Linked DNA regions of Struthio camelus. The protein of the gene in region 1 interacts with the protein of each later gene in a pairwise test. Links are inferred from orthologs where the notes say so. Each region holds a gene or a part of one and is shown on either strand. Other genes may lie near its edges. The genes, in order: WBP11 and C2H5orf22.

Region 1 (8,827 bases):
AAAATGATTTTTTTTCCCCCACTGTAGAGGTATTTTTTCCTTTCTAGTGGCAACAGAACAAGAGATGTGACAGACAAGGGAACTAGAACATAAATATATCAATAAGGAATTGGCTTAAGGGTACTTCTGCAAGGCAATAGTTCAAATACTTGCCAGCTTTTTTGTTCAGCAGTTTTCTGGAAGGCATTGTAGTTAACAACCCTGAAACATAACTAGTACTAATGACAATAATTTCACTGCTGGAGCAGTAGTGGCTAGAAAGCACAATCTTCTTCTTATTGTGTTTCTACAGCAAAGGTGACATCATGATGGGAGAAAACGATTTCAACAAACAAACCCACATCATCATCTGGAGGGTTCATTGGGAACAGCTGTACTGGCTAAACTTGCTTAGTGTGGATTAGCACTAATTCTGATATGCTGAATTCCCCTTTCACAGAAGTGCTCTTAAGGATTTGCTGAAGCATATTTAACTGCTATTTCCTGTCCTATTCTTGTCCCAAGGGGTCTGCCAGAGATCTTCTTTAAATAAATTCTAATCTTAGTAGATTAGCAGGCAGGAAAATCATGTGCCTGCAGACAAACAAACACGACCCTGCCCCACAACTGAGAGAAATCAGCTCCAGTGAGCTAGGTTCCAGCTGTCTGTGTATAATCTCTTATGCTCAGTAACGCCCTGCTCCTGCCAACCCACAGGTACTTAGTTCTGGGCACGTTTGCTATGCTGTTAGTTGAAATGGGATTATACACGTGTGCAAGTATTTGCAGGATCATAGCTCTAGATCACAGACATGCTGTTGAATTTATTTTCAAGTGCTTCACAAGCCACCTTGTGCCAAGAGCATACTCAAATCCTGCATTTCACAACATGTTAGCAAAAGTCCTTATGCAGTTGATTTTAAAAACAAAAAGCTAGAAGCAAGAACATGATTTGTAGTCTCTTTCTCTGATTTACTGTGGTTTGCTTTTTTGCTTTGTTCTTTGAAGAAAAAAGTTAATTTAAAAATTAATAAAAAAAATTCATCTAAACATTGTAAGAGCTCTCCTACCTGTACTTGTTCTACTTTTTTTGTTCTGTCTCAGACATCAATCTGAAGCCAAATCATATGGTGTACTTACAAAGAAAAAATATTAAAATCTTCATTAAAGATGCAATTTAAAAATTACTATTCCTACCCAGGACAGGTTATTATAGTAGGCCTGTGCATAGGTACAGTTTTAGTACCAGCCTCCCCCACACTAAAAGCATATTCAAATTCACACATGTTTATTAATATTAGCAGTATTAGCAATATTAAATGATGATGATAATAACTAGATTGTGCCTATGAAAGTAAACAGATAGGTGAGTTATAACAGAAAAGCTGTTCATTCTCTTCTTAACCCTTTCATTTTTTCCCCCCATTTTTCCCACTTTTAATCATTTCTTCAGGCCCCTCTTTGCTTTTATTCTCATTTGCAGCCCATGGCTGGTAAGCAGCTCTGGCAGCCATCAGGGAAGAAGCCCTGGCTCGGGAGCTTGGGTGAGTGCCAGCGATGGCACTGCTGGCCTGACAAGTGGGGCAAACACAAGCCGCAGCCTGGGTGAGGTGGGTCTGGAGAGGCAAAAAGCGCTGCCCTGCCTAGGCACAAGGTATTCCGGTGACATGGTGACCTGAAGCCTCTTGTTTCTCTCAGATACAGCTTTTCCTAGCTCCTTGTAAGTGTGGCACTCAGTAGAAACAGGGGGTTATCACTTGCTCAGAGGCAAGACACTGCCAATCAGCAGATCAGTAACATTTTGGGTTTTGGAGAACCAGGAAGTCCCAGCTTGTGCTCTTTTTCGATGGGCATCTGTACATTCTAATTTAGGAAGAAGAAACGCCAGCTCAGTACATACCTTTGTGAAGCTGCCAATCACTGTTGTAGGAGAATATTGGAGTCGAACAAAGGGACATCTATCATATTTCTCAGGCAGTTTGTCCACATTTTCTTTAAAGCAAATTCTAAGCCATGTCGGGCGATGGGCATACGCAACAAAGTACGTAAAGATATACAGTTGCCATCCACCTCCTGGGAGATCCTTGTTGCTGGTGGGCTCAACGGAAAGAGGGGTTCCTTGAGAAAGCAGATGTGGAAGGTGTCCTCATGTCCACAAGATGTTAAAGATGCTGAGGACGTTGGCAGCCCGCAGGCTCCTGCTTATAGAGCAGGAGGCCATGACCTCACAGAGGCCTGGCCAGCATCTCTATGAGCTAGGACAGGGTCGTGACCTCACAGAGGCTACAGCCAGACAAGGCTGTTTCGAGGTAAGAAACCTGCAGATCAGCCTGGAACCTTCCCAAACTCTTTCCCTCAACTCCAGGAATAAGAAATTGTCTGGGATTTGCCTGTATTACTGACAGTTATGTATTCCTTGTCATTAGTTATTGGTTCTTGAACTCAGTGCAGCATGCATTCAACTGGCTAAATGCAAGGCAGAGCGTCCAGCAGAGCAGAAACAGCCTAGCTTGCTCTGTGTCTGATAGGTAACTGAAATACTGCCCCTCAAAATAGGAAATGATTATCTGCTCTCTCTTGCCAGATGCCATAGCCAGTTTGGGGCCAAACTGCTCATGCCTCTACTCTAGACCTGCTGGTGCTACCTCTTGGAGTGACAAAAGTACATTCATGCCAAGTGAAATCTGAGAGGGCTATTGTAATGTGGACACAGGTTGCATGGGAATTACACGGGCTGGACCATATTTCTCCTCTAGTAGCTGTTTGGCAGCATTTCTTACAGGACATCTATATACATGACCAAGTATGTGTTTGGTGTGGATATATCAGGTCCAGAAATTTATCTCCAACAACTGAGTACTTGTGAGTAGGGCACTACACTGCCCATGTGCAACTTTTGTGGCTTTTGACATGGAGCTGCCCTGAACCCAGCTCGTCACTTGAGGTGCTTGGAGATGCCTGTGCTTGACATCCTTTGTAATCTAGCTCCTGCTGAGCTCCAAGTCAGCAAAGACCGCTGGGAGAAATCTAAGTTAGGGCTGCTGCACTAACACATTCCCCCCCCCACCCCTCAGCCCAGTACTGTCATGACAACAGGCCCAGCCCATGAGGAATAGGCAATTTGCAAAGCATTGGTACCTCCCTCTCTAATGATATCGCACTCCTTTCATGTACCGGACAAAGATTTGACGTGCATGGCCATAAGGTTCCCATCACAGCCCCTCAAGCGCTCTCCCTCTGCTCAGTCATTTGTTGTGAACAGAGGATTAAAAATTAAAACTGTATATCATAGTTTTTAAATAAGAACAAGCTCAAAGAAGAAAAGGAACCACAAAGCAGCCCAAAGCAGTGTAAACTGTTTTCACACCTGTGTAGAAACAGTGGATTGCTGCAATCAAAATCTGCCCTGCAGCTAATTCTACGCAGTAACAAGAACAATACAAAAGAACCTGCCCAAAAGGTGTTACGTACATGGTGAGCAGGACTTCCCGGGCACTGGGAGCTCTCAGAACCCTGGCTCTGTAGATGCTGCTGGACTGGCCATCTGCTACCTTAGGTATTGTATAGTTTGTGACTAATATTGGTGTCAACATGATGCTTAGTTCATAGTCTTGCTTTTATCCACCCTGCAGTGATTCTTAGTAATGTTCCAAGTTTGTCAACCAAGTCTTCATCATTTGAAAAGCCCTAACACTGTGGTGTAACACTGCCCGTCCACCCCAACCAGGGGATCCATCACCCATACTGAGAGATCAGACCATCTGTGCAAGCCTCCCCAACTAGCTCCTAGGTGCATCTCTGTGCAGAAAAACGTCCTTCTGACTCTCCCTCCCCTGGGGTGTTAATTCTTTTAGCCTGCACTCACACTATGCTGCTTCCCCCCTTCTTATTCACACTGATACAACTATTAGCCAAGGAGATGTTCCATGTATTTTTTTATCCTGGTCCTTCATGCGTGCTTGTATCTGGGGACTTTTTGAGGAGAGACACTTTGTGCAGTGAAAACAGTTACCGCAGAGTGTCCATCAGCTTCTGCAAAGCTGATCACCAGTTTGCTTTAGGGGCTTTCATGGTGGGGCTGCAGGAAAAGGCAAGCAAGGAGAGTAGCTCCTGTGCTCTCTGCTGGTGGGAAACTAGCTCTCCTAATCTCTTCGTACAGCCCATGTTACCTGGTGAATATCATTCAGCCACTTTTTTGATCCAGCATCCCCTGAAGCAGGAGTTGTCACATGAGTCTAAGAGGCGTGCCATGCATAAACGCTCACAGTGGAGCAGTGTTCACTTCAGGCCGAATACAAAAACAAACCCATGTAACATCCTACTGCAGATGCACTGATCACTAACCCCGCTTCCTGAGTACATCTGGAATTACCACAAACTCCTTTGGGCTTTGCTTCTATTCCCTACAAACAAAGGCTTCTCCCATGACCTGCAATCCTACTTTGTTCCAGGAAAGGGCAACATTTTGTAGGATCTCCCCAAGCAAGCACTGGGGGGAATGCCCTGTTTAGAGTTGGAAGATCCCATTCACCATGTCTGTAACACCTGGATTATTTCCGGCACTGGCAATATTGGCGGAGAAATTATAAGGAGCTGACTGTACCAGAGTTCCCCCCAGAGGTTTACATTTTGTCTTACAGAATTGACGTTCTTCTCCTTCCTAAGACTGGGAAATATTCACTGAACTGCTGAAGATGCTACTCTACCTCTTTTATGGCCATTTCCTTCTAGCATACGAGCTTACCAAGGGAAAAACTGAAACAGATTGAAACATGCCTATTTGTTGCTCAGAGGGAAAATAACCTCTGCCTAGCATCTATTAAACAGTGAAAAAAATCTCATAAAGGCTCAAACTTATATTGCCTTTTCCTCCCAAAGCAGTCAAACCATCATCAGTTTAAACTGTAACCCCAGATGCTACAGCCCGAACATCACACCACCCAGGCTCACTCTGCACACCTTTCCCTACCCTTCTCCTCTCTTTTTTTAACCTCCCAGTTTTTGTAATCCCACTCCACCCCGAGCACCTTCCGTGCCTCCTGCCTCCCCAGTTTTTTCTTTCAGATAATTCCCTGTCAGGGTATGACCTCCTCCCTGAGCTTTCCCTCCCCTCCAGCCGCACAGCCTGCCCTCGCTGCCCCCCCTGGCTCCCAGGGGCAGGGAGAGACCCGCTTCCCCCCGCCCAGAGCTAGAGCGCCTCCCCTGCCTGAGGCCCCTGAGGCAACGGCCGCGCCTAACGGACACCCAGGTCACGTGGCCCCGGGCCCGCGCGCGGCGCACCGAGCCCCGCCCCGCCCCGCCCTCGCGGGGCGGTGCGGGCCTGTCCCCTCCGCCGCGCGACCCCACCCCGCCCGCCCGCCGAACCATAGAGGAAGAGAAGAGGAGCGGAATCATAGAGTCCGAAATGGCGCGCTAGGCTGCTACTTCCGGAGCGCGGTTCTGGGCGGCGCGGCACGGCAGTCGCGCTTTACGGCGGCGCGCCACTCGGTCCCGGTTCAAGATGGCGGCGCGGCCGCAGCAGCGAGAAGCGCGGCCGTTATAGAGGCCGCGGCGGCGGCGGGAGGGAGCCGCGCGGCCCGGCCAGGCGCAGGGTGAGAGGAGCGGCGCTGGGAGGGGAGGTGAAGCGGGCAGGGGAAGGCGGCATAGGGTACTACCCTCTCTTCTCTCCCCCTTCCACCCCCCCCCCCCGATTGGGGGAGGGGGAAGGAGACTGTCGTGTTCCTCATGGGACACTTTCTGCCTCTCTTCCCTAGCGATCAATCAACATAAATTTTCCCCCATCCCCGGGTTATTCTGTGCTCTCTTGACTTGTTGTGTTGAACCTCTTTGGTTTGTGCCCTAAAGGAGTTGGGATCGAGGACTTAAATTTAAGAAGTTTATTATCCTCTCTGTTCCTCTCCTCTATGAATATTAGAAATCTGGGAGGTGCAGCGTGCATGTGCAACTCTACATCTATCTTCTAAGCATTCCTAGCGAAAGAAATGGCAACGTCTTACAAAAAAATCTATCAATGTAATTTTTTTTGTAAGTAGGAAATATGTATTATTGGCGATTACAGATTGTGGGGTGCTGTTGCTCACAATTGGCCTGTTTGCATAGTCTGGTAGTATGAACCGTGAGTTCTGTGCACTTCTGCTAATCAGTGCACTGAGTGCAGTCAGTCCTTGGAGCTTGTTAGGAATCTATTCTGTGAGGTGCTGAAATCCTGAATAAGATTTACGCTTAAATTTCTTTATAGTAGATGAGAGGAGGTACATGAATCAGTAGTGATTTGAAAGTGGCAGCTTTTGCAATGAGAGGAGAAGAACGTGTAGCGCAAGCTGCAGCAAGGGTATCGAGAGCTTTGGACTGAACTTGTGAAGTCTTTCACTGTGTTTGGACACTGCCTGTTTAGGTGCAGTATGGTGACTCCAAAGCTGCATCCTATCAACTCAAAGTTCTCAGAGGATGTTTTAATTTTGGGGGTGGAACCTGCTGTGTATTTTTTTTTGTGGTGGTGTTTTGCGTTGAGGGGGAAGAAAATACAGATTAGAACTGTGAGAAAGGGGGCATGCACAGCTGTAGCTATGACATCCCTGTAGTCATCTGTAAGTTAAAAAACTGTTTGAGGACAGAAAGTAACTCTTCCTAGAATAATTTTTCCTTTCTCTGCCCATCTTAACATAGCTTAAAATGATACTGCTGGATGTATGGAGGTAGACAGCATAAGGGCAGTAACATGGCAGTAGTCTGTAGTGAGGAGAAAGAGATGTGAATGTGTGCAGAATACTTGTTGCTGGATACAGTGTGTACTGAGGAGAGGAATCGTGGACAGCTTAGGAGTGAGGAAAGGAGGAAATTTGCGGGAAGCATATGAAATGGAGAGGATTGGAAAGGGGAAAAACTGGAGAGCTCTTGTGGGAGTAAATGAAAAACGAGGTCTCTGATGTGCTCTTAGAAAAGCATAGTACGTGTGATTTCCCCTCCACCCTTTCCCCAAATGACATAAGCCAGAAGCTTCTTGACTTGACTCTTGAAGTGAATAACAAACTGTGTGATTGTTGATTAAAAATAGGATGATTCTGTTATAAATGCCTGAAGTTGCACTGGGATTTGAAGAGCTGACAAGTATTTGGGGGAGTAACCTACTGATTTGGAGAGGAGGAATAATAATTCTCAAGCTATTGCTGCATAGGATATTAAACTGTTATCTTTTCCAGGTCTCTCTCTCTTTCTTTTTTTTTTTTCTTTTTCGGAGACAGAAGAAAAGAAGTCAAAATGGGGCGGAGATCTACATCATCCACCAAGAGTGGGAAGTTCATGAATCCCACAGATCAGGCCCGTAAGTATCTGTAAAAGCTAAATGGATGTGAATGTGGGGTCCTGGAGTGACAGATTTAAAAACAGAACAAAAAAACCTTTATCTGAGAAGAAAAGTCCTCATATGTGAATATGAACTGATTTCCTCAAATTTCAGAAATATTATCTTCATTTTGGCTGGTATAAAAAAAATTCCCAAGAAAGCTGCTTGCTTGCATGCTGTTGCTGCTGTGCTGTATTTACCTCTTAGCTTTTGCTTTAGTTATAAATATTCTAAAGTCTTTTTACTTAGCTGTCAGCTAAACTGCAAATTTATTGTGGCATGGTTAATCTGTCTGAAGCTAGAATCTGAGGAATGTGTTGAATTTTGTAAATACTCTGGCTGGATGAGGAAATCATCTAATGCTGTTTTTTTCTTCTGGTAATGTGTTTGGCTTGTTATCAACACCAAGCAGATAGGAGTACCCAGACTGCCATTGTGAATATGCTTTATTTCAGATGTGTATTCAAAGCGTATTTTGTTTTAAAGCGCAATTCATTGTCTGTTGTTACAGGCGGCTTCTGGGCAGCAATGCTTTCGTGACTGGAAATATCATTATGACTTGCTGTCTGTAGTTCTTTTCTATATAGAAACAGACAAGGCATGGAGATTTCCAATCTTTTTCTTTCTATATATAAAATTTTATTTCTAGCCTTATTGCTTTCTCAATGGGAAGATGAGATAAAAATGTTTATTTATGTTTTTGTGTAAAGAGTCAGCTGTTGAGAAATAAGGCAGTAATCCTGTTGAGGGAGAGGTTCTTCATGGACGCAATTGTCTCTTTCAAGTTGTTATTTTGTTTTCCTTTTTTCTCCCTCTCTAGGCAAGGAAGCTCGGAAAAGGGAACTAAAGAAGGTAAGTAAAGCAAACAGGAACATTTATTTGGCATCCCCTGTACTGTGCATCATGTTTGTAATAGTAATGGGCCATGACCGATGAGTAGACTGCAGATGTTTCAGTTGATTGTGCAAGATTCACTTTGGAAAATACTATTTAAACAAATACTTGAAGAAAATAGAAATTCGATTTTGAGTAACAGTATCTCTTTAATCTACTATTTAACTTGAGATGACCAAGACTTGAGATGATTAAGACTTTTCAAAGCATTATTGTAAGTTCTTAGAAATTAGAAAAACCTTACATATTTGTTGGTATGTTTTATTGTACCCCTTTGGTTTAACTTGCTGATTATGTGCATCTTAATTGGAGTGAATGAATTATGGAAGCATTTATAAATAGAGTGGAATTAAAACTCCAAGTAGTTTTAATTACCTTTGCAAATACTAGCCACAGTACAATCAAAAGCAAGGCATTTTGAAATGCCTTTTTCTTCAGGCTGGGAGTGTGGAGAGAGAAGTCTGATACAAAGGTTCTGTCTCTTCTGTGACGTTTTTCTCATCTCCTTGATCTCGCTATTCTCAGAACAAAAAGCAGCGGATGATGGTACGAGCAGCTGTACTAAAGATGAAAGATCCAAAGCAGATTATCCGGGACATGGAAAAATTGGAT
Region 2 (8,484 bases), on another chromosome or scaffold:
GAAGCTGAATATAGGAAAACTGCTTTTTTTATTCCTCTGCCTACAAAGCCAATAAATCATATTGCACTGAAATCAATTACCAAGGATTTGGAAGTAAAGGAACAACAATACAAGAAAAGTTCCTAAAAGGTATTCTAAATATAGCATGACTTTAAATAATCTTGGTTCTTTTATATATAGACTAGAAGCAGATGTAAGAGGGAGTCTTCAGAATAACGCAGGGAAGCCCTCTTACCAGACCAAAAAAAAAAAAAAATCCTGTTTCTAACTCTACAAGGCCTTGATAACAGTGACTTTGAACATATATGGAGATGGTTATATTCCTAAGACTCAAGTTCTTTCTGAGTTTCAGACCAGTCAGATATGCACTTATTATACATGCACAAGTACACACGTGTGCATGCACCGAGCCTCTTAAGCATGTGAAAGACCAAATGTACCACCTTACCTTCCTGTTCTCTTGTAATCCTTTTTGTAGGATCTGTCTGGTGATGGTGATCTTCTGCTATCACGGTGCCTATGCCTCTCCCTCTCCCGCTCCCTTAAGGAATTTAAAACATAGGTTAAATAAGAAATGTGGCATTTCTTACAATTCACACCTGAAAGGAGCACAGAAGCAGGATGAGATCATTTGCCAGTATTGTTCAACATGACACGTGTGCCAACTGCTACACTTAAAGAAGCCTAGAAACTCTTACTGCTGACCTTCAAGAAATTTGGAATAGATAGTCAAAGTGGCTTCATTTCCAGAGACACTAAGTGTAAATCCATGTTTCACATGTGACGTGGCAAACCTCAGATCTTCTACAAATAGACCATGTGATCTAGGTGCACTGGCAAAAATTTAGATTCTTAACTTTCAGGTATCTCATTTTGAAAATCCTGACCTAAATCATTAGTCACAAAGAAAGGCATTGAGAGAGCAAATCAAAGAGATGAGGAAGACAAAACTGGCAATGGTTTGCTCTAAAACACTATGCAGCAAACTGCTCAGGTCAACTCTTGATTCATGAGCTGCTTTTATCTATGAGGCAGAGGGGCAGAAGCTTCATGAGACACCCCAAAATAAGCTGCTCACATTCATCCCTCTGAGTCATAAGAGGATGACAACACAGCCTACAAGTTCTCTGTTCATTTGGACTACTGCATGCTGATTTTCACCTCAGTCCTCTGCAGATCACAGGCTCCTTGCTGAGGTCTTCATCCTCAACAGAATCACACAGGCAGGTCTACACATCCACTGGGACGGAGGTGTCATGAAGCCCACGCACGCTTGCGCAGGTCTCCCATGAAGACATGGATGCAGCGGAATGAAGGACACTCTGCAACATTCTTTTCACTAGAAAACTCATTGCCAGTTTTCAGGAATCAGACTTGTGCATCTATCGGACTGTAAACCCCCCAATGAATGCTGGCTATCTACAAAACGCGGGGCTTACTCAAAGCAGGGCCGTGCCCAAGTAACAAGCCGTATTCCAAGTCTGGTACCCAAATCTCGAACTTTGAAATACTAGGACTTATCCATTTATAAGGCTGAGATTTTGAACGTAGTCTTTTGCATAAACTTGTGCCTACTCTGCTTTCAGAACACAACTGCTTAAGTTTCTGTGGTAAACCCCACTGACAGCAGAGTGCTACTCAACAAGCCACTCCGGGCTCGCTTCCAGCTTCTTCAGTGGACAAGGGGAGCAAGTTTACCTGCCTGCAAAGATGGGGCAGAAACAACGTAGCTGGAAGACCGGAAAAGCCCTGAGCGTTGACTACATCCTAAGCTAGGAGAAAACAACATGGCCGAGGGATGGACACCTGATTCAACCAATCTGTAGAAGGGAGACCACGTCTCGCTCTGCAGGCAGAAGATAGGCCAAGTTACCTGCTACGCTCATAACTTCTATGGTGAGGTGATATTCTTCCTCTGTCATAATCTGTCCGGTGCCGACTGCTTTCTTGCCTCCTCCTGTCTGGACTCCGGCCTCGATCCCGCCGGTCCCCATGGTTATTCGACCGATGCCTGTCACTGTGGAGGTGCCCATGCTCACGATGCCGGTGCTCGTCGTAATGCTTGCTCCTCTCTGGAGACCGTCGATCGCTTTGCGACTTCTCTGCCTGGTACTGACCCGTGTGCCGAAAATGGCTGTTGCCGCCACTGCTGTTGGTAGCGCTGCTCTGGAAAGAGCTGGAATTGTGCTGATAGCTATTGAAGTTCGGAGGGGGGAATGACTGCTGTGAATACCCTGCGGAGTAAACAGGCTGGTAGTTGACTTGCTGCGGTATGACTGGGGGTGGGGGAGGATGCGGTACTGTCGGGGGCGGCATCATGTAAGGAAATGTGTTTTGCCCCGTCGGAGTTCCTGGCACAGGAGTATTGCTAGGATTTGGCACTGGTGGAGGAGCGGGAGGGAAGCACGGAGGCACTGGGAAACCCTGCCTCATCTGATGGTTTGGAAAAGGTGGCCTCATGGGACACTGGCTGATGGGACTCTGTGTGGAAGGGGGCACTGGAGGAGGATACGGCACAAAGTCTGGCCTGGGAGGCATGTAACCAGTGGCTGGAGGGTTTGAATAGGTTGTCGGAGGGGCCGTTTGCTGGTCATACTGGTATTGCACAGAGGGCTGCTGTGGGTGAAGCTGCCGTAGGTTCTGAGGTCGGTAGGTCTGTGTTGAAGTTCGTGCTCCTGGTCCCCCCTGGCCGCGGGGACACCCTCGTCCGGAATGGAAAGACATGGCTCACCTTTAAAGAAGAAAATAAATAAATGTACAGTGTCACAAAGTTTTTCTATGAGGTTCTTTGGAAGTAGTTCCAGGAAATGCACAAAGTGCTTAAATTATGATTTCTGCAGTTTCTTTTAATAGGAGCAGCAGATGACGACCACTGGCTTTCATTGTGAGCTTTGTGCTCCTCAGTGCTGTAGTACAGGTCATTATTCCCCCAAGATTCCCCTAAGTCTCTAATCCACTAATGCACTCTCCTGCCTCTAATCCAGAATCCAGGTGGGACCATACCCTCATGGTCATGGATGCTTTAATATAAAGTCTTCAGACACCCACACCAAAGAGATCGCTCATTTTAACAAAGGTAGGAGTCATCCAAGGTCTTACATCAAGGAGTTCTTCCTAGAACACTATTCTAAACTTCAGGTAGAACAACTTTACTAACATGCCATCGTGAGTTGCCTGGTCCAGTGAAAAAAAATCACATAAATCTTAAACAAGATAATGGGAATTTATATTCACAGTTAAGTCCCAATTTCGTACAGGACTGAATTCAACAGATATTTTAAAGTTAGGTACATAAAAATTTACTGTGACCCACAAAAACGTACGTGGACTGTGGTTTGTTCCAATTTCAATAAACAAACATTTTCAAAATTCCTGAAGTACCTAATTGGCCGTGTTACCTTGCTGGCAATAGGCACTGCTCTAAGCGGGCTGAAGTCTTGCTCAAAAGCATGTGTTGTATGTAATGTACTACGGTATTAAAGTTTAAAAATGAAAACTGCTGTGGCATATTGAAGTTAAAATTAGTTTTTCATTAAAATGTTCAAAATTCAAAAACTGGGAAAAAGGAAAAAATATTTAAAATAAAACATCAACAATGATATGTTGGGTGGAAGGGAGGGAGAGAGGGGGAAAAAAACAGTTGATCCTGCAGCTGCAAATGTCAAATCCTGTTCTCTATAAGAGAGAGACACATAAACACGTATGCGGAAAGATCACCAGACACAGAAAACAAAGCCTCCTTTTTACAGTGGCTTTACCGATGCAGAAGTACACATAGGGAATAGTCTCCCACCTGCTACCCTGTAACCCGGCAAACGTGGGCTGCTCAGAGTACTACTTTTGGCTGCATTCTGGTCCCAGCGCTGCAAAGGATGAAGCTTGCTGACTGATGCCAGACTTCTGCTAGTGAACCGAAGGGAAAAAACGGAAAAGAAATGAAACAGGGGGAAAGGATGCACATTGAGGAAGAGGTACCAGGAGGACCCCAAGTCTCCCGTCCCATGCTCAGGGCTTGGTTGAAGCCACTGGAAGTGGTGGTGGGGCATTTCCTCCCTCGTTTGAGCAAGTGGACAACAAAGGCCAGCAGGATAAGGGCGGATCAACACGTTTCTAGGAGGTAGCAGACATGTAAAGCCACTGACTGATTCCTTCCAGGCAACCCCGGTCTGTTCAGTACCCTCAGGTCTTTTAAAGGGTCTCAAAAAGAAATGACAGGGAAAAAAAAATCTACTCCACACCTTCACGAGTTTGTCTGGCAGCAGCGCTACTTTCTGTCATCCTTAATTCTAGTCCATTAAACGCTGGACCATTTTTCCTCAGGTCAGCAGTTATAACTCACCTAGCGCAGGCTTCTGCCAGTACACTGTTTTGTGCTTTGCTGACATTTACATACAAATTTTATTTAAACAGGCTGAGCCAATCTTTTATCCCCTTGAATGAAGTAAAGGGAAACCCACTGTACTGTACTGTACTGGTGCCTTAACGTAAGGCACGTTTCTTCTTAACACGTGCCAGTGCATTCAAACAAAAGGTCTCCTTTACCAGCTCTCTCCGAGCTTATCTGCACCTTCAGAGGTTTCCTCTGGTTTCTGCGATCACAGTTCAAGCACTTCAGAACGCACCGAAACGCAGAGCCAAAGGCAGCAGGGAAGGCAAAAAAAAAAAAAAAAAAATTATTTCAGGTTATTTTAAAGCTCCCGCTGCTGCAATTTTTCACCGCGTTCAGGTTCGCTTTGAACTTCAGTGGGAAAAAACCGATGACGAGTCATGCCCTTCCTTCCACCCACAAAGAGAAACCCGTTGCGCCACACGGACACGGACACGCGCGGACACCCGCCCCGGCGCAGGGCCGGCGCGACGGGGCCCTGCCCTCAGGGCGGCCCGGGCCGGCACCGCCCGCCGCCTGCCCTCAAACGGCGCCAGTTTCGCCCGCGCGGGAAGGGCAGGTTTACGCACGGCCGGCGATCACCGCAGCGGCAACGACCGCCAGCCGCCGCCGAGCCCCGCGCGGCGCCCCGGCCGCCCCTCGGCCAGCGGGGCTGCGCCATCACAACGGCCCGCGGGGCCACGTCGCCACGGCGGCGGTCGATGCGCTGCTTCGCCCCGGCCCGGGAGGGGCACGCACCCGCGCAGCCCACCTGCTGCCCCGCCGCCGCCGCCGCCGCCGCCCGCGCCGGCTCCGGAAGAGGAAGGCGCGGGGCGGGGCGCCGCGGGCGGAAGCCGCCGCCGCCACCCGGAGGGAGCCGGGCCGCCGTGACATGAGCGGTGGGGGCCGCCCGCCCGGGGAGCGCCCCGCCGGGGCCGGCCGGAGGGCCTACCCGGTGCTGCCGGTGTGGGTGGTGGAGGACCACCAGGATGTGAGTGAGTGCGCGGCGCGCCCGGCCCAGCCCCAGGCCCGTCACTTCAGCGGGTGCAGCCGCCTCCCGGGGCCCCACCACCATCCCCCCCGCCGGGGTCCCGGCCCGGCCCGGCCCGGCCGCCCCTCGGGTAGTAGCGGCAGGGGAGAGGCGGGTCGCGGCCTTTCTCTGGGCCGTGGGTATTTGGGGGGGTTAAAAAAAAAAACAAACCCTTTTCTGTCTTTCTCGGTTTCTTCTTCCAGCCGTGCCCGCTGCCCTGGGGGCGCGAAAACCAGCCTCCTCGGGCCGGTCTGGCTAGTGGCACACGAGTGAAGTTCAGTGTCCAGATGATGTGGAGCCCCGTCGTGATCCAGTGATGCATGTAGCTGGTGCCATTAGGGCAGGCTGGTGGGGTTTTAAGTAGTTATTTCACTCTCTTTCTCTTTTTTTTTTTTTTTCCCCCATGGTTTCTGTGTTTAAAAGAAAATAACACCCACGTTTTACTGCTTCTGGAATTAGCTAGGTCCTAGCGTACTGCTTAGAAACTCAGGCCTACGCAACGTATGAGGCACACTCTAACCAGCACATTGACTGTCAGTAGCTGAGAGATGTCAAATTTGGTGCTTTATATTATTTGTTTGCTTGTTTTTAATGATAGCTAGTTTAAAAAGGCAATCCTTTGCAAAGGATTGCTTTTGAAGTGCTGTTTCTGGTTTCTCAGAGAGTTTCTTTATTATAGCACAAGTTGAGGCTGTAATCCAAAGTAAGCAAATTCTTTACCCAAAGGCACAAAAGCCCACTAATTTCAGCAAGCATTTCTGGGGCATAAAGAACTGGTGGAGAAAAAAATGAAAAGCATTAACTCTATTGCTGTTTTGCAAAAGCACTAGCGTGATACAGTTTATTAAGGGAAACGTTATTCTGAACTTGAAAGTAGATAATTTAATGAGGATTATTTTTGCCAAGACTCGCTGAAATGGTTGATGCTGTGGTGGCTGGTTTTCTGCAGTAACCACGGACTAAGAGTGTCACTGTAATAGAAGTACTGAGATAATGTCTGTTAATAATTCTTCTTTATTTTGCTTTCAGTACTTCTCTTTTGAATTAGGTTAACAAAGACTCTTCCTACCAAATATATATGCTGTACTTTCAATATATGTATGTATATACATTGATCTGTCTTATATAAAACGTGTATAGGCTTTTACCTCAAAGCGTAAGAACTTCCCAGAAACTATGTATAGTCCAGATGAATTACTGACGTTGAAGTTTCTCTGGGGGTAGATGACACTAGAGGCACCATGCTTTGATTAATAATAACAGCTAGCGGGAAGGGAATTTTGTTCTCAACCCAAAGCAGCAGAACTTGCAATGTAAGGGACTCTAGGCTTTTGTCTCCTCCCTCATCCTGCTCTGTTTTCAGAATTTGCGCTAACACTTCCATGAGATTAAACTAATTTCACCTGTCAACATTGTAGGTTGTACAGGTAGGCCATTTGCCTTTTGTGAAGAACTGGAAATCATAGATCAGAGAATCACTGTTATTTTCAACCTTATTTTTATCTATTATTACAGTAGGATATATATCATTGCATAAGTAGTGGGAAAACTGAGAATTTATAGCCGGTCTGGTGAAATACAATCCAAATTTCAACTAAGTGTCAGATTTTATGGTTATGTACACTCACTATTCAGGATTTGTGATCTTAATCAGTTTTATGCTTAAAAAGTAGCTCAGTTTGCATTTAAATACAGAGATCCCGTGTAGCTTATATTGCCCAGTCTTTTTATAGTTTTCATGCTCCCTGTATAGTAGCGATCTGGTTCACAATTCTTGCTAGATTTGTTCTGGCAGCTAAGGCAGTTACCGGCCTGTAACTGTGGGAGAAGCTCCGTCTACTGCAGCTCAGTGTAAGAAGGATCGTGAATTAGCCTTCAGTTGTCTCATCCCACTTGACAGTATTGCACATCAGTGCTTTGTTATGCCGTAAATTGACACATCTACCCATCTGCTTTTCTCACTTTTAAGTGGGCAGCTGGGGAAGGTAGTCTTTTCATTGCAGCCGCTAAGTCCTGCAGGGATTGGGAATTAAACTTTTTCTCCAGAGGAATAGGTTTAAAGATCAGCTAAAGCTTAAATGGTAGCCGGGTCAGTTTTCACCCTGTATCAGTTAACATTTTGTTAGTGGGGCTTCAGAAGTTTGTATCTCCGCAGCCCCATGCATAGGTTGTGGCTAAGCTTTATAGCATGGAAAAGGAAGTGTAGGGGGTAATCTTCAGCGGAAGAGAGACGGCATTTCTGGGGATCAGTTGAAAAGAAAAAAACTAGGCAGTGTATTAAATTATTAATCAGAAGAGCTACTACAAACAAGACTTCCTATAAGGAAGAAAAGAAAGAGTAAAGCTATGATTCTGCAGCAACTGGCCATGTATGAAACTCTTGGGTTCATAGTGATTCACGGTTCTTCGGCTGTCTTGCTGTTGGAGTGGTATCCCTTTGTTTTCAGTCTCCTTCTCCTTCTCCCAAGAAATAATCCAAATTCAAAAGAAGCAAAGAGGAGAGGGGCTGGTATTTTTGCTATTAACGTCATTGCGTTTTTCAGCTTGCTGGTTATAACTGAAATATTTTTGTTCGTATTGTTTTAGGTTCTGCCTTTCATCTATCGCGCCATTGGTTCAAAGCACCTTCCTGCCAGTAACATCAGCTTTGTTCATCTTGACTCCCATCCAGACCTCCTTATTCCCGTAAATATGCCAGCAGACACCGTATTTGACAAAGAAGCTCTTTTTAGGTAAAGTCCTGTGTACTGCATCAGAATACCTGAAGTCCACTTCTTGCTACCTTTGATTTACAGTCCGTATTCGTTTAACTTTTCATACAGCAGGTGTAAAGCAGCCCCAAGTTGTGTCTTCCATCCTTTCACTTTTGCTGAACACTTTGGTTTTTTTGTGGGGAGGAAGTTATGTGTGTGCTTTATGAGTGTGGTCAAATATTTATGTTGCATATCAAGAAAACCTGAGACTTGCGAATTTACTTTTAGTTGTTTAGTAGTATGTCGTGTTATTAGGCCAGGTTATTTCTCTGGATAACAGGACAGTACTCCTAAGTGCTGATCCTTTTGATCTGAAGAGCTGTAGGTTTAGAACA

Evidence for each region.
Region 2: the proteins of WBP11 (region 1) and C2H5orf22 interact in binary tests that used the Homo sapiens proteins (3 or more experiments, as listed by UniProt). The two-hybrid records come from large-scale screens. The link is inferred for Struthio camelus from reciprocal best matches to the Homo sapiens genes WBP11 and C5orf22.

Annotation. Positions count from the first base shown.
Region 1 is NC_090942.1:54,901,470-54,910,296, forward strand, and holds the start of WBP11 (WW domain-binding protein 11), read left to right. Parts: upstream 1-5,261; 5' UTR 5,262-5,570; intron 5,571-7,178; 5' UTR 7,179-7,236; coding exon 7,237-7,300; intron 7,301-8,141; coding exon 8,142-8,173; intron 8,174-8,740; coding exon 8,741-8,827. UniProt on the Homo sapiens protein: Activates pre-mRNA splicing. May inhibit PP1 phosphatase activity.
Region 2 is NC_090943.1:91,263,765-91,272,248, forward strand, and holds the start of C2H5orf22 (UPF0489 protein C5orf22 homolog), read left to right. Parts: upstream 1-5,208; 5' UTR 5,209-5,258; coding exon 5,259-5,357; exon of another isoform or gene 5,358-5,361; intron 5,362-5,599; exon of another isoform or gene 5,600-5,756; intron 5,757-7,982; coding exon 7,983-8,128; intron 8,129-8,484. Other genes in the region: DROSHA (ribonuclease 3), read right to left, coding at 449-541, 1,874-2,724.